Drosophila melanogaster: one gene and its partners. The protein of the gene in region 4 interacts with the protein of the main gene of each other region in a pairwise test. Each region holds a gene or a part of one and is shown on either strand. Other genes may lie near its edges. The genes, in order: CG16826, mil, Bap170 and bsh.

The links.
Region 1: the proteins of bsh (region 4) and CG16826 interact in a two-hybrid assay, tested with the Drosophila melanogaster proteins (one large-scale study listed by BioGRID).
Region 2: the proteins of bsh (region 4) and mil interact in a two-hybrid assay, tested with the Drosophila melanogaster proteins (one large-scale study listed by BioGRID).
Region 3: the proteins of bsh (region 4) and Bap170 interact in a two-hybrid assay, tested with the Drosophila melanogaster proteins (one large-scale study listed by BioGRID).

Annotation. Positions count from the first base shown.
Region 1 is NT_033779.5:13,345,673-13,350,039, reverse strand, and holds CG16826 (uncharacterized protein), read right to left. Parts: upstream 2,268-4,367; 5' UTR 2,244-2,267; coding exon 1,218-2,243; 3' UTR 1,020-1,217; downstream 1-1,019.
Region 2 is NT_033777.3:27,910,591-27,914,988, reverse strand, and holds mil (milkah), read right to left. Parts: upstream 2,543-4,398; 5' UTR 2,422-2,542; coding exon 2,189-2,421; intron 2,124-2,188; coding exon 2,000-2,123; intron 1,936-1,999; coding exon 1,707-1,935; intron 1,648-1,706; coding exon 1,562-1,647; intron 1,508-1,561; coding exon 1,328-1,507; 3' UTR 1,204-1,327; downstream 1-1,203. Other genes in the region: CG5003 (uncharacterized protein), read left to right, coding at 1-951.
Region 3 is NT_033778.4:6,634,588-6,643,290, reverse strand, and holds Bap170 (brahma associated protein 170kD), read right to left. Parts: upstream 6,780-8,703; 5' UTR 6,603-6,779; coding exon 6,361-6,602; intron 6,297-6,360; coding exon 5,281-6,296; intron 5,111-5,280; coding exon 2,304-5,110; intron 2,007-2,303; coding exon 1,005-2,006; 3' UTR 933-1,004; downstream 1-932. Other genes in the region: Fmo-2 (Flavin-containing monooxygenase 2), read left to right, coding at 1-288, 408-587; Trap1, read left to right, coding at 7,304-7,436, 7,513-8,703.
Region 4 is NT_033779.5:19,764,915-19,771,480, forward strand, and holds bsh (brain-specific homeobox), read right to left. Parts: upstream 4,154-6,566; 5' UTR 4,016-4,153; coding exon 3,573-4,015; intron 3,101-3,572; coding exon 2,826-3,100; intron 2,437-2,825; coding exon 2,134-2,436; intron 1,715-2,133; coding exon 1,446-1,714; 3' UTR 862-1,445; downstream 1-861. UniProt on the Drosophila melanogaster protein: DNA binding protein that function as transcriptional activator. May play a role in the determination and function of cell types in the brain.

The DNA of each region.
Region 1 (4,367 bases), 6.4 Mb from region 4:
GTATTATCACGAAACTGAATCGAATTTCCAATGCTTCGAAATCTGTAAACTTTTTGTTTGGCTTAGCGCACAAAAAGTATAATCATTAAGTAAATAATAAACAGAAATCAGAAAAACAGATTTAGTGGTCTTTAGGTAATAAGAGGCAAATTCAGATACTAAAGAGATCTATTCAAACACATGAAGTCAATAAAATTGCAAGTAAGCAAACTAAGATAGAAAGCCTGCGTTTTATTTCAGCAAATATTTATTCTCGAGTGGTTCATTTAGTGCCCCCCTCGCAAAGTCATAAAGGGGAAATCGTACACGTGTTATACAGGGCGTATGAGCTATAAATGTAATTTACCCAGCTGTACGTTAGTTATGTATACATGGCGTATGAGCTATAAATGAGAATCAGATGTATGCTAGTTGAACGGAGCCATAATTTGAATATTATAGCAAATCTGTTATATTCGATATGAAATAACACATTTTCATTGAAAAATATAACAGCATAAAACTTTATAAACGCTGTACTACGCGCTTCGTGTCCTCTTCAATTGACTGTTATACAAAAGCACAAAAGTTCATTTTTATAGCAGTTGAGATTGTTAATTCAGTGTTATACCTTTCGTTACTGTTGTTATACAACTATTTATATTTATAGCAGCTGGGGAAGTCCTTTAAGGGGAATTCACTCAGTTCATTTGCATCATTTGTTAGTAGGGGAGGTGCTAAGAGTGCAAGTTAGTTTCTTTTTCCCTTTTTCTATATTATTTAGCACCCTTATTTAATTTACATATAAAGGCAGAATCGAATGCATTTAAATAATTAATCTACTAAAGCCTCGTGTCTTTAAATTGCCACGACTTTCGTGCCTTACCTAAATAAATGAATATGACAATTTTAAAATAATTGCTTTAGCATCCGCAAAAAATGTGCTGCACCATTGATGAAGTTAATCGGTATCTGGGTAATACGTTTGCGGTAGAGTAATTTTTAAAGTACTGTTCAAAGTTAAGAAATATTTTGAGAAGCTTGGCATAGTTTATTAAGAAACATCATTGATAAACGATGAAGGAAAACAATTTCTAATTTAGTTGCATTAGAGTAATTTATTTTGCTGCTTCTACCCGACACCTAAAATACACTATACGTTCTTGTAAATATTTCCATGAGGATTCGTCGTCATTGCTGGAGTTGTCATATTCATTACTGGATGACTCCCCGAAATCCTACGAACTTATGGTGGTCGTTTCATTATTAGAGCTAGAGTCGTCATCGGTGGAAGTCTGCTGCTCCTGGTACTCCGCAATGATCTCATCCAGCTTGCGCTCCACGCTGGGCTTCTCCAGCTCGTGCTCGGCCAGGGTCTGGCCCACACATCCGCTGGCATTCAGGCCGATGGCCAGTAGTCGGATGCCTTGAAGCTTCAGGGTGAGCAGCTCCGCGGGAGCCGAGTCGAGTCCGCGTAGTGCCTCATTGATGCCATTGCGGCAGGACAGGAAGCTGAGGTTGAACTGGACGCAGAGCTCGACTTGGTCCGTCAGTTCGTTGGTGGCATTGTGGTACTTTTCGATGGCCTCTTGGACATTTTGCTCAAACGTGGCTTGCTGCGCTTGCAACTCCTCCAGGCAGCTGTGCAGATATCCGGAATACCGGGAGAGTAGCTCATTTATGATCTCCTCGGCTTCCTCGTTGCCAACTCCATTCGTCAGCTTATCCACTCGTTCCAATTGGGCGTCAGACCATTGGTACCACTTCTTCTGGATTATGGCGAAATACTCTTGTTTCTTCTCGTCTATCCGATCATTGAGGTTATTCACGGCCACTTCCAGATCATTTACGACGGTATTGACGGTCTGCAGTCTGGCGAGAGCATCCTTAAGTGCCTCTCGCTGCAGGATGTTTCTCACCCGATCAATCCCCTGATGCAGTGCGTCGATCTGCGCCCTCAGAGTCGCGGAAAAGTCGACGATTGACTCAGTGGCGGCTCTATGAACTGCATCTGCGATTTTTTGGGCAAACTCCAGGGTTTCGTGCGTGTACTGGGCGGAGGAGTTCCTTATGCTGTCCAGGAACTCACCAGCAATGGCCGTGCCATTCCTGGTGGCATTCACGAATCCACTGATGATGTGCTGGCCAGTTTGGTTTATGGAGCCGAAGATTTCATCCAAGAATTCCGGATGCGGTGTGGCAACAACGCAGCTGGCGCTGATGGCCAGGGCGAGCAGGAGAACGGCTGACTTGGTCGAATGCATCGTCGGTCAACGGATAGCCTAATCATTCTGCACCCTGGACCACCTTTTATATATCTCGGCTACGTGCGCTTGGGCAAATACATTCGCTGACTATTTCAATATTGAAGCAGGCCGGCATTTTATTAAATTAGTTAATATTTAATCAGCCGCTTTCCATAATGAGCGAATAGTGGAATGCATGCTGGTTGGATAACTTTTCGAAGAAAGCTCTGTGCACATTTGTTTTACTGTACTTGGGGGCAATTAAAAAAAAAATTATTTTATGCATTCTCAGTGTTATGAGGACAATGATTTTCTTTATTCAAACACAACGTTATTTTTTTAATCACCGCAAAATACAGTACTCAATAAATAATTAACAACGCGAATATAAATATAACTTTTGCCTTGCATTTTCTTAAAATCCCCTCTCAAATCCACTCACTTAAAGCATGCTTATAATAAAAGCCCTTGGCTTAAACTATGAAAATAAATCAAATAAGTCAATTTCGCGTGCATTAAAACCGAAGGCTCTTTATGCGGGTCTCACACAATCGCAGGCAGGTGGTTATAGACCCACCCTGCCATTTGCACAAGGACAAAGGTTAAACTCTGCTTTAATTTTGAAATTTATATGCCTGCGAGACAAAGGAGCGCATGTTTACGCTCAGGTTAAACCCTTTTGTGGCGAACTTTATGCATAACTAACCGAACGAACTGGGTGGTTCTTTTTGGGGGGCGTGGCAGGACGTGCACATAATAATTGTCTTTAGCATGCCTTTATTATGACTTTAATTGTCGCTTGACAAACGTTGACACACAACGACATGAAATGCTCGCCAGGTATATGTATTGTATAAATGTATATACATTTGGAGATATGGAAAGTAGCTGGCATTGTGGGTGGCGAGGTGATGGGGTTGTGATGGCGTGGTGATGTGCCGAGGCCTTGAGCGACATGCACTATGAACATTTTATTAGTCTGCTGTTAGTTTTGTTTAATTATGCTGTCATTAACTTTGTCGCACAGCCACACGCCTAACTGCAAAACAAAAGCTTACATGTCTCAACGCAATTATAGCCGGAGTGGCCAACAAAGTGCTCCATGGACAAGGACAATGGGTTGGCGGAGCGATCCCGCACTCTTCTGGTTGCCATTTTTCCCAGCTATTTTTACACCCATCCACTCCACACCGCTGCAGTCTCCTCAATGCACAGACATTTAATTTTGCGTTTTCCACTAATTGGCTTGCATACTTGCCATATTCTCGCTTCGCTTAATTAATTTAATTAGAAATATGTTTCAGCTCAAAAGAAATTCAAACCTCAAAACCGTTTCAATAGCAATCAGTTCCGTTTAGCATATGATAATGATGTCGCAATTGCAATTACCTGTTTAAAGAAAGAGGTCGGGTCGGGTCGTATGGGCAGTAACTTGCCTTTGGCGGATCACGCTCATCATCGGCTCCATTTAGAGGACATCAGGTGTGGAGTGGGAGAGTCTGGTCCATTTAAGAAAAGCAATTCATGTGGGGAATTCGAGAAGCATGAGCTTAAATGCTAGCTCAAAAAAGTTTATGTAAGTGGGATTACATCACAAATATCACTTGACCTTAATAGAATATATTTGTCTTACACGTGATAAGTATTTTATTAAACTTAGTACCTTTTTTAATAGCTATTCTTTGAGCACTTAAAAGAGTGCTTAACTTTTTATTATTTTTTAAAAATAATAACTATGACTTATTGATATAAAATATGTTTGTAAACAAAGACGATCTGAAGAAGGGTATCCATTCAGCACATGGCCGTGCCATAACCTTTCCTTTATGCTTTTCTGCTGACCTCGGCAACCTCCATGAATGCCAGCAGGCTATGGACCAAGGAGCATGAAGGAAAATGGAAAAGGACCAGGATCAGGAGGATGCCTGAAACGATTCCATGCCGTTGCAATCGCGGCCATTAAGTCATTTTGTTTCCTGTAACATTTCCGGTATCTTTTTAGCGTCGTCGCCGCTTCGAGTACGGCGCTCTGGCAACTGCTGGAGGGGATTGGAGGAGGTCACAGGGCGGCGGATGGCTCCAAGTGCTGCTGATTGGGGGCGCGGCCACAGGTTCTGGGTGGTGGCGGTGTGGCAACAAATG
Region 2 (4,398 bases), on a different chromosome or scaffold from region 4:
GCACCATCAGAATCCGATGATGAGGACACATCATCCACCTCAGGGTCTTCGTCGGACAAATTGGAGGTTTTATCGTTGCCCAGAAATGGTCATAGCAACGCTGCACCTTTGAGCGGAGGCGTCGACTTGCCGCCACTTCCGCATGCAGCCGATGCAGCCAATGCAGCCGATGCACCAATTGCAGTTGATGCAGCCAATATCGAGGCTCCCGGGCAGAGTCCCGGCTTGGATCCTAGACCCCCGCGCGCTTACATCTACGTGCCCGACGCTGAGAACGCTAACCCGCGCCAACAGCGTAGTGTTGTGGCCGTATTTGCGCAGGGAACGGAGCAACGGTATATCTATGTCAATCAACAATTCTCACTCCCGATGAATGTTCTGATGCCGACGCGACGCCATCGTACGCATCCGCGTCCGAACTACGATCAGGTTGTTCAGCATCCGATGTTTTGGAACATGCTCGAGCCACTGGATCGCGACTATGCTCGACGAGTGCGCCCACGTCCGCCTTCCTGTCAGACAACACCTCAATACTATGTCACCGATCGGGCGATGTATAGCTTTGGCCGAGCTGATCGACCGGTGCAACCGGACGTTGTCTGGATCCGGAACATCAATCGCTCGCCAGACAATAAACTGGAGCGACTGTCGTTGCGAAACTACCATCTCATCACAAATCATACCCTGGAGCACCTGGTGCAGTGCTCTCCGAATCTGGTGTATATCGATGTTAGTGGCACCAGCATTACGCTTCCGGCAATTCGGCGCTTCAAGATCTCCAAACCGAAATGCGAAGTGGTCGCCAATCACTTGGAGGAGTTTGAAAGACTTCCGGAGCTGGAGACACAGGAAGAGGATGACACGGTGGTGGTGATGCTGCAGCCACCGCCGCGCGCCGACGACGAGCAGCCACCGAAATCGCCACCGCCACAGGAGGTGGTGGCTCCTTAGAATATTGTTTGTAAAGATTCCGTCGAAGTGGGCCGTGCTGGATTATTTTATTTTTTTTTAAGAAAAAAGACGACATGGCCAAGCCGATGGATCCACAACGCTGGCTACAAGCGAGTGCTGTAGCTCAGCCATCTAGTATTACGTTTGACTATTCGAGTCCTTGTAATATATACACGCCAGGCTAAACGCACTGTATAAATCAAAACCACAATTCAATTCCTTTAGCTAGGCATTAAAAAGAGCGCGCGAGATCCTTTTGGTAAATATGTATAATGAAATGTTTATTTGGTTGGTATGTAGTGGGTAAGGACAGGCCAATAGTTCGGTGACTCGAGTTAAAAATGTATGTAAACTGTATATAAGCGGTGTAAAATGTTTACTTGTCGACGCCATCCTCCTCTTCGGCATCCGACTCGTCCTCGGTATCTTCCGACTCGGTCTCCGATCCGCTGGAGCTCTGACAATCGGCAATCTCGCCGGTGAAGAAGATCACCGCCTTGGGAATCACGCGCTCCTTTAGATAGAAGCCCACCTCAAAATCGTTTTGCAGCATAGCCTGTGGGAGGAGATGCATGTGAAAGGATCGCAGATCGCTGATATTCAATCTTACATTGACGTCACAGTAGTTGGGGTCAAGGGTATCTTCTGGCAAAAGCGGCGGCGAGAAGAACTCAAAGAACGACGGCTCTTGATTTTCTGGTCAATGAGTGAATTCAACTAACATCTGTGAAATTTGATGCTCCCAGATGGCTTACCGGTTTTGGTCTGGTCCTTGGTCTGCTTCCAGTCGATGACGCAGCCTTCGCACTTGTAGATCTCGGCGCCATCATATGCGAGCGGATCGTCTGGATCCGGCAGGCAGTTGAGGAAATATGTCTTGGTCAGCACCGTGTTGGTAAAGTAATCATTGGGATCGAAGTGGAATTCGATATCAAACTTCACCACGGGTTCGTTGTACAGCCGAGAACGGATGTCGCTTAAGCACTGCGCGGGAAAAATTTCAATTAAAATTTAAATATCCTTCAAATCGGATCTATCCATAACATACCTCTAATATTTTCTCATCCCTCTTGCTGATGAACTCGGTGTACGATGCTTTGAGAACCCTCAGCCAAAAGTTGGGCACGCTCTGATTGGTTTCCACGTCGCCGTGGTTTTGCTTTCTAAACTCACTGCACCGATGGGATTTTTGGGGGAATTGAGATCTTGTTTAACCAAACACCATTAATGGACTTACTCTAGAATCTTCTTGCGCTTATCAAATATGATATTGTGCTTATCCTCGTACTTCTTCTCGATATTGTAAATGTCGCGCTGCAGAGCCACATCCAGGTTAATGGTCTCCAAATAGAGCTGCTTCAGTTCGGTAAGAGTTTTCTTCTCCTTCTCGGTGAAGTTTAAATCCGATTCCATCTTCGGTGGAGCGGTGTACTTCATCCGCGGAGGGTTTCGATTTCGCACAGTTTCCATTTATGTTTCGACACGATAATCAAAAGAAAAATAAAAAAAATATTTCTTGAAGTGATTTGGTTTTGTTCAAGTATAAAATTTGGACGTGTGCGTTTTCGCTGTGACTGCCGTTGTGGGAATGAAAAGTAGCTCTATCAGTTTCCCAAAACTCCCAGCACAAAAGGCAAGGCCCGCTTTTCACTAAAGTGCTGGAACTAACTAGATGTACTAGAAAATATTAAGCAATTTATTATTCTTTTTTTTTAAGCTACATTTTTAAACCCTCGTGTTATTGCTGTTTTAGTCACCCCTTTCGCCTTACTTTGCCCATTGAGATGCAGGCCATGTTTATTGGCAATTTAACGCACATTTAATTCCTGCTCTTTTCCTGTTTATATATTTTTGGTTTCCCCAAAATTTTTTGTTTGCTTCCGCCAACTTTTCATTTGGCATGTAATTAAGTGTGGGCCAAAAGCTTGGACTGGGTGCCGCCAGCCTGGCCTAAGTGTATGCAAATCACGTGCTGAGTGCTGTGCCGCCAAGGGTTCAGGTTCAGCCATTGCCATCGCCATCGCCATCGCCATCGCCTCCTGGAGTCTGTTAAATGGACCGTGGACCCAGTTTCTGGTCTATCCGAGAGTCGCTTGTCTTTTGTCGCTGGTTTTAATAATGTGGGCCAGGCTTAGTGCCATATGTCCGGCTGTGAAAAACAACAGAAAAAAGTGAAAAAAAAGAGTGAAATTGTCGCTTAGGCAAACATTTCAAAATGAAATTATGAGTGGGCCAGTGGCGGCGGGCGAAAAAAAAGTGTAAACAAATTCAGCCAAGCGGAAGTCCAGACACACACACACACACACAACAACGCACACACACATCCGCCAAATGAAAGCCGCAGAGGATAAGCGGGAAAAGCGGGAGATCGCATTGTTGTGCGCTGTTGAATGTTTGCCCACAAATACAAACACACACGACACACGGCACATGCACTTGTCCAGTCTCCACAGGACATCCACCACTCGCTGCTCTCATATTTGATATTATTAAATTTTTTCCCTAAATACCGCTGGGAAATTAAAAAGAAATCATAACGCAAATAGTGTAAGGCAGCCAGGCATCTGATGATGACGGCTCTGGCTGGCCAATTTCCACATTTGTACGAGTGTATGCCTGCACTGTGCAAAATAATTGGTATGTATATATATTTCACGTCATTATCATTAGCAGGAATGGAATATGCAAGATAGTTAGGTATTAATCCAAATGAGATGGAAATCGATAGTTGGGAACTAATCAAGATCAACTAATCAAGGACTCTTCAAGTGCACAACCATTTAAGCTATTCGGGCATTTTCAATTTACATTTCGGTCATTCAATTAGGCGGTGCATAAAATGTAGCTACATAAGTAATGGAGCAGCCCCATCATCATCAGCATCATCAGGATCATTTGGAGGAACATGGGGACCATGGCCATCACCCACGTGATTGCCGCTCGTCGGAGGTCGTCAGTGCCGGGAGCGTCAACATAGTTTGAATTTAATTAAAACCAAAATTAGTAGAGCCCAGCAGAATGGAATGGTTTGGCGCAGCCCGACCAACCGGAGCAACAGTTACTTGGCGCAGGGATTAAAGCTCCTGCTTCAGCTCCTTCCTGGCAAAAGTGCATGTCTGCAGAAAATCGAATCAGGAGCTCAACATCCTCATCCACGAGCCAGGCAACCTGGCAGCCTGGAACTCCTACGTTTCCACCTGCTCCTGAAACTGAAGCAACGGCGCCATGCCGAAATATCTGCAACAAAAGCATAAGATGTAGTGCGGCATTTGATGATGAAACGACGTGTTAATTAAGGTCATAATAATTCAACTTAAATTGAAAACTTGCCCGGCCCCAGAAACGCAACCATGGCAGGGCATGGCACTCACTAACCATTTTTGGTTGGTCGGGCATCGGGCATCGGGCGAAGGGCATCGCATCCTCGGAATCCTGGCCAGGCTAAGC
Region 3 (8,703 bases), on a different chromosome or scaffold from region 4:
CTCAGCACCGATGTGGGTGTCCAGGTGATAGACAACTTCGTGCAGCCACTGTGGAAGCACTGCATCAACATCAACCACCCGACCATGGCCTTTGTGGGCCTGCCCTTCAACGTGATTCCCACCCACATCTTCGACATGCAGGTGCGCTTCACGCTGAAGTTCTTCACAGGTCAGCGGAAGTTTCCCTCCCGGGAGCAGATGATTGCCGATCTGGAGCAGGAGATCGGAGAGCGGTGGGGCTGCGGCGTGCGCAACCAGAAGAAAGCACATCAGATGGGCGAGCGACAGGTGAGTGTTCACAATACCCTGTATAAGAAATTAAAAATATTAGCTTATGTAGACTTATTTGTTAAAGACTTTTACAAGCAGAGAACATATATAAAACAATCTTTTATCTGTAATTTCAGTTTGTCTACTACAATGAACTGGCCAGTATCGCGGGCATCGAGAACATCAAGCCAGTTATCCACAAGCTAATGAAGGACTGCGGCAAGAAGTACATTTTTGAATTGGACACGTACAGGAGCAACAAGTATACGATTTTGGACGATGAAAACTTTTTGAAGAACGGAGAAGCTATTGTATGATGAACCTGATTTCATCCCATTCTAATATCTTACGTTAGGCGATAAAAAGTGTTTCACTGTAGTACACGAAGATTTAGCGGACTCTTCGGTTCGGATTCTTTTAACGGATTATAACTCAGATGTGTTAATTAATATTTTATAAGAACAATGTAAATCAAAGTATGTTTTGAACGATTAATTCAAAACGTTTATTTGCTAACCAGGAGTATATCTGATAATGTCCACCATAGCTCTTTAATTCTAAGCCTCGTAGAATTGTAGAAGTCAAATTAAAATCTTACTCCCGAATCTCCCATATTTTGGTGCTATATGGTATGAATCATTTAGACAAACAAGGTATGGTTTGCTTTTCACATTTTTTTAGTGTCGTTCTTACAAGTCAGTTAAATAATCATATTGATGGTAAGCTATATCGGCTTACTGGCTCAATTCGTACATGATGTGGGAGAGCACTCCGCTAGCCTCCACATTGCTAAAGGCGACATTGGCCAAGCGTGACTCATAGCGTTTCAGGCTTCTCTTGGCCGTAGCCGAGTAGGTGACCAGGTTGCGTATAATGAGCGCCGCTGTCAGACGGATGCTCTTGGTGACTGGACCCTCATTTTCGTCCATCAGCTCTTTAGCGTTCGTGTAATCAGTCGTGTGTCGGTTCATAGCTTGCATTGCGGCGCTGCCAACGACTGGAACCGCTGAAGCAGGACCCGAAGGTGAACCAGTAGCGCCTCCCGCCAATCGTTGGGCATGACCCTCGTTGCGCACTATGGTCACGGGAGCCTGGGTGGGCGCCACATTGTGAATCCCAGTTGCCAGGCGACGTTGCACACTGGCGCGCAAGTTCTCCGTTGTCAGGTGCCGGTCAATCAGATGCGTCATCAATGAGTACCGTTTGCGCGCTCTGTTGTCGCAGAAGTTGGGTCCGCTGCCCCACTGACAATAAATGTCGGCATCAGAATCAAGGTGATCTGGACAGTGGACACTGCACACGTGGTACTGCAGCTCGTTAAGAGACTTGAATTTCTTGCGGGGACAGTTCCGCCAGTCGCAGATGTACAACCAATTTGCATCCACGGGCATGGGAGAGGGCGTGGGGTTGGCATTCGGGCCAGAAGCAGCGTAGACGCTCTGACTGACAACCAAAGAACTGCTGCTGGGACCTGTAGTTACGACAGCAGGTGGGACAACCGTCTGTGCTACTACCTCTGATTCCGCTGGCTTGGCCTCGCTGGTTGCTAAGACAACTGTTTTGCCGCCTTCCGTTGAATCACTAGTTCCTGACGTCGTTACCACAACAGCCTGGGTGACTGATGGCTTGGGGCTAGATACTTGAGCAGGTTGTGGCGGCGCCGGCTTTTTTGCTAGGAGAGTTACAGTTGGTGAAACTGGAACGGGTGCTATTTTCGGTTTGGTCGCTTCGGAAATCTAAAATAATATATTAAAATATTTGTTTTAGTCATCTTAGCACAATTCTTATTACCATACACCTGTTGGCTATTTAGAAAAGAGATCCTGTAAAACCCGCCACTCAAGTAGTGAAAACGCGATGGAAACATTTAAAAATGGGGAATGTGAATGTGATGCGATTTATGGGATTTAGAACGGGCATGGGCATATTATGAAATCAAATTTTAAGCTGTTTACATACTTTTCAATGACCCTTGTATATATACTTAAAAAAAAATAATAATTCTTTAATTTCGGCCCCAGTTCCCAACTTACTGCCGGCATGGTTATCTTCTGTTGGATGATGGATGGATGATGCTGCTGCTGCTGGTCCAACACAGATCGAATGTGATGTTGCTGCTGAAGAGCCACGCCTCCTACGATAGCCGTGCTGGTAGGTGACTGAGTGATGATCGTCTGCGAGTTAAGCTGGCTTTGCTGCAGGGGAGCCGGTGTGGCCGACGTCTGGGTAATTAGCGTGGTCTCCTTGATTCCGCCCAGAATTACCTGCCTCTTTTCCCCACCAACCGTACCGCCAACTGTGGAAGTAGGAGTGGAGGGGCCCGAGATTATGTGTTGCTGGATGATAGACTGATGTTGCTGGAGCTGAGGAATGGGCAATGAAGCGCCCGGCTTTGCGGCAACTAATCGCTGCTGGGGTGCTAATTGCGGCGAAACGAGCTGCGGCTGTGGTTGGGGCTGATGAAGCTTTATAGTAGCCGGGATCTGGTTCAACTGCGACAGCAGTGAAGGCGACATTTGGCCAGCACCCAACGCCGGAACTGGTCGCTGGGGTGCGATAAAGATTTGCTGCTGGGGGGTAGAAGTACGCGGTTGGGCCAGTTGTGGAGCTGTGGTGGTGGTAACCAGGACCTGCTGGCCCTGCGCCGTTGTCATTATCATTTTCTGAGTGCCAGCCACGTTCGCCGCAGAGACTCCTCCTGGCTGCTGCAGGATTATTATGGTCTTCGTTTGTTGTTGTGGTGTTTGCGTCACCAGCAGAGTGGGTGGTGCCGACTGCGTGGATGTCGGAATAGTCGGCTGCTGGGCCACAAGATACGTCTGGCCTTGCTGGTTGGTGGCCAGAACATATTGCGTCTGCGGAGCTGGCGTGGAATCCATTGCAGTCTTGGGCTGCAGGATCACTGGCACAGTTTGCAAGCCCTGATCCGTCTTTATGGTGGCCGTGGTGGCAAGTTTTAGTTGGGAATGCGGAGCTGGAGAAACCACATTGCTACCGGGGAAAACAAGTTGACGTTGGGTTGGTTGCACTTTAGCCGGAATGAGTTGAAGCTGCTGTGCCTGTTGCGGGTGCTGCTGGCTTTGCTCCTGGCTTGGTTTGGCCAGCGGTGGAACGTCATCCATATCCTCATCCTCCAAAATAGATGCCGCCAGATCCGCATAGAGATTGGCTGCATTCTTCGAGGGAGTCACCTGCGCTTCTTCCTTGCCGCCAGAAGATGAGCTGCTGGAACTGCTGGCAGCGGCATCTAAAGCCAGACGCTTATTCTGCTCCTCGTCAATGGTTAATTTTCGTTTGGCAGCTGCTGATGCAATGATGAGAGTGCGCCCGCTGGCGTCTTTCGTCACTACGTTTGCACCACTCAATGGAGCGAGAGGTGGCGGGGCCGAATCAGTGATTGGCTTCTTTTCGATGGCCATCTGGGGGTGCAACGGCTTAATGGTAGTCTGACCCACCTTCACCGGTGTGTGCTGCATTAGCGGGTTGTTCACGAAGGCGCTTATAGCTGTTGAGGTTACCTTGATGGGCTGGGTAGCATTTGTGCCCGATGCCGTGGTAGCCACAAGGGCTGGCGGCTGCGGCGTCTGAGCTTGGGCCTTCTGCTTCTGTTGGCGTTCAGTTACCTTGTTGGCCAACAAGCTTTTGATGAGCGAGGAGCTTGGGGGTGGCGTGACTGCAGAAGAAACGCTTTCCTCAGACGCCACTTCCGTTTGAACAGGATCACTAAATGGTTGCTTGGGCAATATTGGCGTGTCCTTTTTAACAGGAACAATGCTGGGGGTGGGTCTCTGTTGCATGGCTAGCGGCTGAGCTCGCATCCTAATGCCTACGTAGTACGTCCCAGGTAGCTCTATTCCGTCCAGGTGCCGTACAATTACTGGTCCCACCGATTGATTAAATATAAGCCGCACTAGACGAGGAAACTGCATGTGATTAACCACTGAAAGCTTACCCGCCTTCTGGCAATGCGATAAATATATTCTGTATAGTTCCGCTTGTTCCACACGGAGATCGTTACCGTTCCCAGCCCGTTCATACGTGGCTCCCAGCCAAGCCAGCGCATACTGTTCGTCCTCGTGTGTAAAACTCTGGGAGGCGGAGGGCAGACTGGGAAGGGTCACGGTGGCAGCGATTGGTGGCAATTGTACCTGCGGCAGACTGGGTACAGGCAATTGAACCTGTGGCAGACTGGGCATTGGCAGACCGGGGAGAGCTGTAACCAAGGGTGTTTGCTCTCCGTGAGGCAGCACTTGCGTCTGGGCGGGTGTAGGCGTGGGTAAAACTGCTGGCGGTTTAACAGCTACTTGCAGCGATGTTGGAAGTGTAGTCAGGGAAGTGGGACCTGGAGCAAGAATGGCGGGCATGTTCTGAGCCAGCGAGGCAGCCATGTTTCCGGGGAAAACCTCTACGACACGCATTAATATGCAACCGCCTGTGCCATATGACTGAGCCTCCACTGTGATAAGGGTCACCAGCTGGTCTATTAGGCCACGTACTTGCATCAGCATCGAACATGGCCGAGCGCCAAGAGCACTTAGTGCGTAAACTGCCTCCAGCGTAAAGATAATCATCATGACGTCGGTAAGCGAGAGGAGCAACATGGCTCGCTGGTAAAAGTCCAGGCCAAGGCAACGATTGATGTGCTGCGAATTGCCTTCTCGTCCGCACAACTTATAGAGTATCTCCAGACAGCTCATGATCACCGCGCGGTCGTTAGAGTCAATACCCTCGCAGAGAGTAGCTAAAAGATTCCGCGATAGCTCGTCAGTGGTGGGGTCTAGCAGCTCAAATTGTTGAGCCAGGTTGCCAGCGGTCTCGAGGGCCTGGATGTGAATGTTGCCTAGAACGAGCGAAACGTGTTTCAGTTATTTTATTTTAAATTGATTCTTTCGGGATTGCTATGCTACGCAATAGTCAATTTCCTTGCAGTGTATTTATGATAGCACCTTGATACTTCGTACATTCAAAGCGCCAAAAAATATAATTTCTAAGCAGATAAAAAAAACTTACTCCATCGTACGTTTGCTCCCATGACCAAATATCGCCACAACGTGCGGTTGGAGGCCAAGAGTGCATGATTCTCCTGATGAAAGCTGAGTGTACGGACTAGCTGGACAATCTGAAGCACTCGCTGGCCCATGCGCTCATCAGTCCCGTTGCTCCGGCGCAGATTAAGGAAGTGCAACTCGTCGCAGGCCGCCAGCAGTTCACTTCGAGCGGCAGAGTTCTCACCGTCCTCCTTACTTATCAGACCGTTGTCCAGCCAGGCCTGCTCATCCGTGTAGAGCTCTAGGACCTGTGGCTTGTCGTGTAGCAGGTCGCGCCAGAAACTGAGCTGCGAATGGTGTCGAACCTCGGTGTAACTGTGCTGGAACAGCTGGCGCATGGTGAAGTCAGCGTAGACTCCCAGGTGAGCAAGCAGCACATCAAGCAGTTTGGGGCACTCGGACAGCTGTAGGGTGTGGCGCGCCTCGTTGGCCATAAGTGTGCACACGTTTATGGCGAAGTCCTGCTCATTGGGCAGCGGAGAAAGCAGAGACAACAGCAGCTTCTCGTAGCTGCTGTGTCGGTGCAACTGCGTGGACATCTTGTACTGTCGGCGTCGTTCCACATTAACAGAGTGCTGGCGCTGGTTGTAGGCCATTGGCACCGCCGGCAACGTAGAGTGTGCTGATCCAAAAATGCTTCCTAGGCCACCACCGGCGCCAGCCAAAAAACGAGATCGCGAGCGTCCACCGCCCATTTCTACAATCTCAATAGCCGCCTCCAGAGCCTCCATCTTGTCTGGATCCTCGCCAAAGAAGTTCAACCGTTCGTACTTGTCCAGGTAGCGTCTGTAGATGTGCTTGATACTAGCCGTTCCGTTAACGCAGCGCTCCCGCAATGTCTCCATGGCGCTGTACACCTCGTCCCACTCGTCCCGCATGGTCACCTTATTAAAGCCGCCTCGTTCGGTTACCTCGTTGTACAGCTTGTACAGGTCGACATGCTTACCGCTGATCCTGGCGGGCTGTGTCAATGGAGTGCTGTTTGGGCAGAGGGAAAGTGGGTTAGGTCGTCTCCAAATACAGGAGAGCCGCGGCAACTCACCCGCGTCGTTCGTGAAACTGCTGCAGGTCCCTCCAGAACTCCTCCGGAGGTGACGGCGGCATCTCCTCGACCTTCTCCGGCATGATCTGTAATTGGGCGGGATTCTTGGCGCGAAGGGGAGTCGCTGGGGCCGCAATCTTGCCCGGCGTCTGTAGATCGCCCGGCTGAGTGGCGCTGTTTACGGCGGCAGCAGGCAGCGACTGAAGCAGCACCCGTACGTTGTCGATGGTGGTGGCGCTCATGATTGGATCTTTTTGTGTGGTGGCGTGAATGGGAAACACTTAACACATGATATTCTAATAGTAAGACACGCAGATGCTAATTAAAATTATTTAAAAAACTCAACAAAAATTACAACGCGACGCTGACGCGCTACAGCAGAGTTGCATTCACGAGCAGGGCTGTCAGCAATTGGACCGTATATCGATATGAGGTATCGATGTCTTTCAATATTGGATTTGATTTAACTTTCTTTTATTTACTGTCTTCTTTGAAGACATTTGTTATTTCATAACTCAAAAATCAGCATCCAATCTACATTGGCTAAACAATGAAACGTAATCTGTTCTTAATTCCTTCAGAATTTACGGTTTGTTGTTCACAGTTGAAACATCTCTATCTCTCTCTCTCTCTCTTGCTGATCGAAATCTTTAGAGAACTAGTCAGCTGGCAGTTTGCTTCAGTTTTGAGCTGAATAATGTGATGAAACTGAACTCTCCATTACATGTAGTAACTCTTATTCAAACCAACTAAGCATTTGAGTCCAAAATTCATTACAGCCCAGAAATTTGGAAGAAAACACCGTTATGAGTAGGGTTTTACCAGTTTACTATTATCGAATACTTACAATCGATTGATTTGGCTACACTGTGCACACATGTGCGCTGGAACAAACTTCGTAGTTGGGTAACATTAAAGTTGGGCAAAACATTAAAACAACAAGATGTCTGTACGAGCGATGGGAGTGCTGGGCCAGGCGTGCCGCCTCGGTCGCTGTGCCCAAGTGTTGAGGCAGAGTCACCGATCCGCCCCAGCAGCGTTCAATATCACCATTGGATCGCAGCATTCGCCGGGTGGTAAGCACTGAATATAAGCAACCGGCTCCCCGGAGGGATTCTTATGTTTACATAACACTCATCTTTTCACTTGCAGCTCTCTCGCTCCGTCGCTACTCCACGGAGACCAAGCAGGCATCAGGATCAGTGGTGGACAAGCATGAGTTCCAGGCAGAGACGCGCCAGCTACTTGACATTGTGGCTCGTTCCTTATACTCCGACCACGAGGTCTTTGTGCGCGAGCTTATTTCGAATGCAAGCGATGCGCTGGAGAAATTTCGGTACACCTCGTTGAGCGCTGGAGGCGAGAATCTGGCTGGAAAGGACCGGCCTCTGGAGATTCGTATCACCACCGACAAGCCACTGATGCAGCTAATCATCCAGGACACGGGCATCGGCATGACCAAGGAGGAGCTGGTCAGCAACCTGGGCACCATTGCACGCAGCGGCTCGAAGAAGTTCCTGGAGCAGATGAAGGGGACCCAGCAGGGAGCCAGCTCGGAGGCATCCTCGAACATTATTGGTCAGTTCGGCGTGGGCTTTTACTCTTCCTTCATTGTCGCCAATAAGGTGGAGGTGTTCACGAGGGCGGCTGTGCCTAATGCACCCGGACTGCGTTGGTCCACGGATGGCAGTGGAACCTACGAGATCGAAGAGGTGCCTGACGTTGAGTTGGGAACGCGAATCGTGCTTCATTTAAAGACCGATTGCCGTGAATATGCGGACGAGGAGAGGATCAAGGCGGTAATCAAGAAATACAGCAACTTTGTGGGCTCACCCATCTTGCTTAACGGAAAGCAGGCCAATGAGATCAAGCCTCTGTGGCTTCTTGAGCCACAAAGCATCAGCAAGGAGCAGCACCATGACTTCTATCGGTTCATTAGCAATAGCTTCGATGTCCCGCGCTTCACCTTACACTATAATGCTGACGTACCCTTGAGCATCCATGCACTGCTCTACTTCCCCGAAGGAAAGCCTGGTTTATTCGAGATGTCTCGGGACGGAAACACCGGTGTGGCTCTTTACACCCGCAAGGTGCTTATTCAGTCCAAGACTGAGCATCTGCTGCCCAAGTGGCTGCGTTTTGTAAAGGGTGTTGTCGACTCTGAGGACATTCCACTCAACCTGAGTCGCGAGCTGCTCCAGAACAGCAGCCTGATTCGCAAACTGTCCAGTGTGATTTCCACCCGCGTTATCCGTTTCCTGCAAGAGCGGTCCAAGAAGCAGCCAGAAGAGTACGAGGCCTTCTACCGGGACTATGGGCTTTTCCTGAAGGAAGGAATTGTAA
Region 4 (6,566 bases):
TGCCAACCTCTTAAAATCGAGGGAGGCTCGTCTCTAGCAGTTTATTTCACATTGAGCTTATCAATAGCAAGATAAGCCCAAGAGTACTACTTATTAGTTTCTGTATTCACTGGGAAAATACAAGTGGCTAAAGCGACTGCGACTTGTCATTGCTTCGACCTTAGGTTGTATATTATTCCGAATATTATTAATTCGCATGTTTACCAAGTTGAGCATAACTCAATACACACTCGAAATTTATATAAAAAAATACATATTATTAACAAGCATATGTACATATGCCATTTAATCGCCAGAATAGAATTGGAATATGCTTCGTTGACGTCAAGAAAAGTCTTAACAGTCCAAAGTATGAAACTAAAAATGATAACTTCTCTCAACAAATAGATCCATGAGTTTTGATGACTGCAAAGGTATCTACATGTATATAAGCATATGGAACTCCATTCCCTCCAAGACTCATTCTTAATCGGGTAAACTATTAATATTTTTTCGAGAGCATTCCTGCTAACCCGTAATTACCAATCAATTTGAAACATTTAACTTTTACCTCCTCACTCTATTCCGCACTTGACAATGGGTGTCTCACTAAAATGGCTGTCTGAAAACCCGCAATTATTTTGCCATTGTTAAGTGCATTTCCATCCACCCCGATTCAATCCAATCCCACCCGCTTCCGCCCGCCCACTTGGGCGGCAGGACATGCGCAGGGCGTGGCAGTCGCCAACCCCATACATCAGTATTCCCGCTGCTTAACCATATTAGTTGCTACTTTGTGTTGTCAATTGGATTTGATTGCCCGGCGAGGGGGCGGGCATCAAGCTACACCACCCACCCACCCAGTAACACTTCTCCAGCATTCGCGTAATTCGCTCCGTTCCGTTTATTGTAAGCACTATGTTCTGGATAAGAAGTCGCAGGGAACTAATGTATCTTAAAATGGAAGTTCTCGAATACAATCACTAAATTTGATTAGTTATTAGACTTAATACATGACTAGAAAACTCGTTCAAGAACTCGTTGGTATTTACACGGCTTTTCGATTCAATTCAAATATGTATCTGGGGGGAAATACAACTATAATTATAGCAAAATAAATATGTTTCTTTTGGACAAGATCAAAACAGCTAGAGTAGCTGGATGGTATCTGTTATAATCAATCAATTAATTCAATGGTGAAACTGATGGGTAAGTTTCCACAATTATAAGGAACTATAGTTCGTACTAAATCGTAATAATAGATATTTTCAAAATGGTATAACCATGCTCGCGCTGATAATATATGTGTTGTTTTGTAACTTCTGTGCTTGTCTAATAGAAAAGTCATTTAGTAAAAGAAACTGATATTTTTTGATTTGAAAATCTCTTTTAGTTGTATTTCCCCCAACTGAAACACCGAAAACTTTACTACTTTAGGATCCAGGTCCACATCCCGATCGAACTGTCTATGTTAACTGGTAGAGTTTCGCATCGCCGACGATGTCCACGTCGCTGGAGTTGTCCTCGTCGCCACTGTCCGCCTCCAGATCGGAGTAGTCATCCGTGGAGTAACCCTGCTGCATCAGGCACATCTGCAGCTGCTGCTCGCTCGTCGGCTGAGTGGGTGTGCCGCCGACAGATCCGGGATTCAGTTTGCCGTGCTTGGAGTCCCCGGATGAGGAGGTGGCCTCGCCCGGCTGCTTGCCCGGTTCGCTGCGTGAGAAGTCGACGGGCTCTGCGGCATGGAAGAGTCAAAGAAATTTCCACAAAATTTAGAACTAATTTGATTTGCGTTGAAACTTGAGCAAAACTTTTTGCATCACAAGGAGCCGGCTAAAAGCCAAAAGGTCTAATTGATAGTCCAAAAGTTCCTCAAAGAAACTACTCACTCCAGTGGTCTAGTTTTTGGTGCTTTGTGACCAATTTGAAAACCGCTGACCACTCCTGCTCGAAATGCCTTTTGACAATTTAATTGCTAACTCAAATATTGCATTGTCTAAAAGCTGGAAAACTTGAGCAACTCTTTTTCGCTCTAGTTGTTCTTAACAGCCCAGAAAAGGTTTGAATATTAAATAACTTGATTTGAGTATTATAAATTTCGTAATATTTAATTTGCTCATAATAAATTTGTGATTATGAAATCAATATACTCACCATTGGCATTGTCGCGCCGGCGCAGCTGCTTTTTGTGCTTCATGCGGCGGTTCTGGAACCAGGTCTTCACCTGCGTCTCGCTGAGTCCCAAGGCGGTGGCCAGCTCCACACGCTCCGGCGTGGACAGGTATCGCTGTCCCTCGAACCGCTTTTCCAGACCGGACAGCTGCGGATCACTGAACACCGTGCGAGCCTTCCTCCGGCGGCAGTGGCGCAGGGCATTCACGCCCATTCCCAGTCCGAGGGCCAGTTCCGGCACACAGCCAGGCGCTCCGAAGAAGGGCGCTCCCCCGAACAGGCTGGCTGAAAGGGCAAAGGATGCAAAATTTGGTTAACTTCGTTATAGTTGGAACAAATGAAAACTTTCGGTGTTGATGGCCATTTACACCGAATATTTCGAGTTTTAGTGCCCCTAAATGAAGCTATGTGGCAACAAAAAACTGCACTTCAACATCAGTTGTCCTACTAATTTGGGTTTCATTTTGAAAAAGTTCTAAATGTGAAATTAAATGTTGTGCTGGCTTTTTAATGAGAATATGTCCAACTTCATTTTCGATTAGCTAAACTCTAGCTAGAATTGACTTTTAATTTCTATGAGTTCGACTTTAACTTATTACCAACATGTTTGTATGTACCAGTACAAATCAGAATCATCTAGGAGGATATCTCTGTAATATCGAGCATTAACTCACCTTGTGATAGAAAATAGGGATCCACGGACTTGTAGGTGCCCGACGACGGCGAGAGATATCCGAGGGTCATTTGAAGAAATCCGTGATCGGTGTAGGGTGCATTCGGATAGAGTACTCCATTGGATGCACCACTACCTCCATTCAGGGGCGGCGGAGGCGGAGGTTGAGGTTGAGTCGTGGGCACCGGCGGATGTTGTGCTGCTCCAGATCCCAACTGCTGCGAAATCTGATCTCCGTTGTAGTGGGAAGTTCCGTGTCGCGAGTGGTGGTTGGACCTACGAAGCAAGTGGTTCAATTAGGGGTCTATTGGTATTTCGATGTTAAACTATTCTCTTTATGTCCAATAGTGATTTTTATGCTAATATGCTTAAATACAAATATATATTCCCAGATACATTAAGCTTTATGGTAAGCCTGATTTCTATGTTTCCAAAATATCATTTTTCTTACAAAAAATATTCTATAATTTAAAAGAACATAATCCAAAGTAAGATTTTAAAGGTGTATGCTATTCCAAAATATTTGTCTTCAAGAAGGTGTGACTATCTATCGTATTTGATGTTTCATGTTTACTTCTTATTCTTTTATAAATTCACTTTGTTAATATTATCTTATTTTTTATTTATTTTTTTTTTATTTTAATTACTTTTTTTCACTTTTCTATGCAATTATATTGGCTTAAAATTAAAGTTTTTTAAACTAAAATTTCACTGCAGTAGTATTAGGCCTTGGAATTCGGAAACCAACCGTGGAGTGCTGTGCATGGACTTGCCGTAATCCTCGCCAGCGTAACCCGACGCAGCCTGGTTGCTGCGGGCAGTAGCCGTCGCGGATGCGGATGCGGACGCCGGCGGATGTGACTGCGGCGGATGCGAATGTTGCGACGGATGTTTGTGCGGATTATTGTCGTGGGCAAATGCGCTTCTGGCACTTTTCACCGCGTTTCTGCTGCTCTTTGGCGCGTAGTTGTTGGTGTTTGCGGCGATGCCGTTGGTATCACTACTATTATTGTTATTGCTGGCACTATTTAAGTTTTGAAACAATATGTGCTCGATGGAAAACGGCGTTTTTGTGGTCAGCATTGTGGTGGCACTGGCCATCGCCGCCGCCTTGCTGTGCGTGGGCGTGGTGGCGTTGGCATGAGCATGTGCGTCCGCAGGACTCAAGCTGGCCTCATTAAGCATTGCCATTGCGCTGGAGGATGGCCGAGCAGGAGGAGCACGAGGAGCAGTGATGGAGACCGGAGCCAGGAGATGTGCCAGCCAGCCGGGATATATACGTGTCCTTGGACCGCGCGCGCGCTTATGTTGTTTGCTCGTTGACGGTCGCGTTGAGTTTGCGGCAATCACCGCACATCAACCAGCAAATTGCTCTAAACGAGCTGCCAGCAGACATGTGCGAGCGAGCCGGCGATATGGTCCTGCATCCTGCGAAAAGGGGAAAATCGAAGGGGGGGAAAAAATGCGAGCGCAGGCAGTGCCACCCCCTCCTCAATCCGGCTGCAGTTGGCCCGCTTTGCGGTGCCCGCTTAGAGCGGCAATATTCGGGGAATCCCCGTAAGCGGGCACATGAACACACCCCTCGATTTGCATGCGCATAGGGTTGTCCTGCTCTGGCAGGATTTTGAGCACCCATCTCTCTGCTGGCATCCACTGGACATGCGATTAGTGCGGAAAAACCTTAGTTTAATTGACCCCCGTTAGCCGCAAATAAGTTGCACAACTATGCGTCCTTGCTCTGCCGCCATTTTGCGAGGCAGGCACATCCTGCCACGTCCCCAGCCGCCCATTTGGCACCCACTTGTCATAATTAACGTGTCACGGCCGCCATTGTTGGCTGTCTGGCTGATGATGTGCGTGCATTAAATGCCACAATTATTATAATTGAATTAAACAATCGATTCTGCTGCTGTGACAGGATAATTGCTAGGTGGAGCCAGCGCAACTGTACCCGCTGGGTTGGGGCCAAGCATTCGCCTGCTTTGCATTCAGATATTTTTTCCCCGCGCGGTTAATTGAATCAGAGCCCCACATAGCCGTACACCACCCACCAAGGACACCCGGCCCCCTCCGCACCCAACCAAGTGACACCATCGAAAAAGGGGGCGTGCCTCCTTTCCAGCAAGCCACCAATCGGCGAAGAGCTCGCCGAGGGGTTGCTTTCGCAACTATACTCGTCCTGTTTCGTCCTGTTGCTTTGAGAATCAGTCTTTCCTCACAGCGGAAAGTCCTTAATTCCTTCAGAGAGAGGGAAATATGGGGGGGGGGGGTCTCCACAAACAGAGCAGGAAGGAAGGACAATAACGAGACATCGCCGAGAGAGAAAAAGCATATGACGACGATGCGACCAAAAAGCAAGACAAATTTGCTCGTTTTATTAATAAAATAAGTCACGCAAACTAAGTCGAACGTCATTATTAGGTTAAAGCCCTAAAATGGGCGCATTAGGATGGCATTCGAGTGATCGCGGTGATGGTTGGGTCTGCTTGGGGATGTGCTGCCCTGTTCCTGGGCAAAAATATCTCAGCTTCTCTAAGGACATTGGGGGGTTATGGGGTTTGTGTTAACGAATAAAAATATTTAATTGTATTTAAAAGATATTAGAATAATAGTACTTAAAAGTGATAACCTAATTTCAGAAGTGCTCTACCAATTTTAAAATTATTAAATTAAAAAGATATAAGATTCATAGTTCCTAAAAAGACAACGTTTTTCTTTTAATATCTATTTTATAATATTCTTTTCATTTTCTATAAATCTATTTTATGAAATCCCATCTAAATTAAATTTTAATTTAAGGGTTGTATACCTTAATAATAAATATATTTATTATTATTATTTATTATTTATTATAAATATATTTATTATTACATATATGAGAAATAAAAACTGATATTTATCTTAGAGAAAGAATATTAATAGAATAAAATATCTCGAGACTATAGTTACATATAGTTTAGAGCTCCATAGAAGTGGAAAGCTGGAAAAAGGTATCCCAGCCAGAGATGAGCACTTCTCTCACCTGGCCGAAAGCTCTTAACTGGCTGCTCCGCCTCCACATCCACCTCCTCCTCCATGGACTACTCTTCGGTGTCATCCATTGTTAACCCGCTGACATGAACGTGCCAAAGGGCCTTTGTGAGGACATATATTTTGTTCAGTTCTTTTTGAGTCTGCTCGGTGGCGTGTCTACCTTGCGTTTTTTATTGATTTTTCTCGCTAGGTGGAAATCAGCGGATTTGCGAGCAGAGATTCCCATGGCCAACTATGAGGGCAGATCATATTTTTGAGCCATCATTTAGTCTGCCTAATTTCCCATTGTTGCACGTGCCCCGTCCGACGGACTGAGCCTAATTTTTATAATAATAAAAATGCTACTACGTCTGGGGCATCGAATTGCCAGCCACTTTGCGGTTTAAGCTGAAGGAGGGTGCTTTTCCTTGGGGCAATTACAACATTTTGTGTCAGTTTGTCTGGCAAATCCTTCTGCGCTGTCTACATGAACGTCTCCTTGCCTCCTTTTTTGTGTTAGCATAATTCCCTGGAATCAAAGCTGAAGTGTGTCACCGATCAGGTTACATAAGCCATAGGTCGCGCTCGACCTCGCAACAGGGGTGAATATTGGCGGCACATTGCCTCAGATCCTCTTTCCGCATTTAAGTTTGATTCTCGGTAAATTAACTTCTGATACAAGCAACACAAACTTGAACATCCTTGCGGGTCCTTTGTTTTTGGGAGCAGC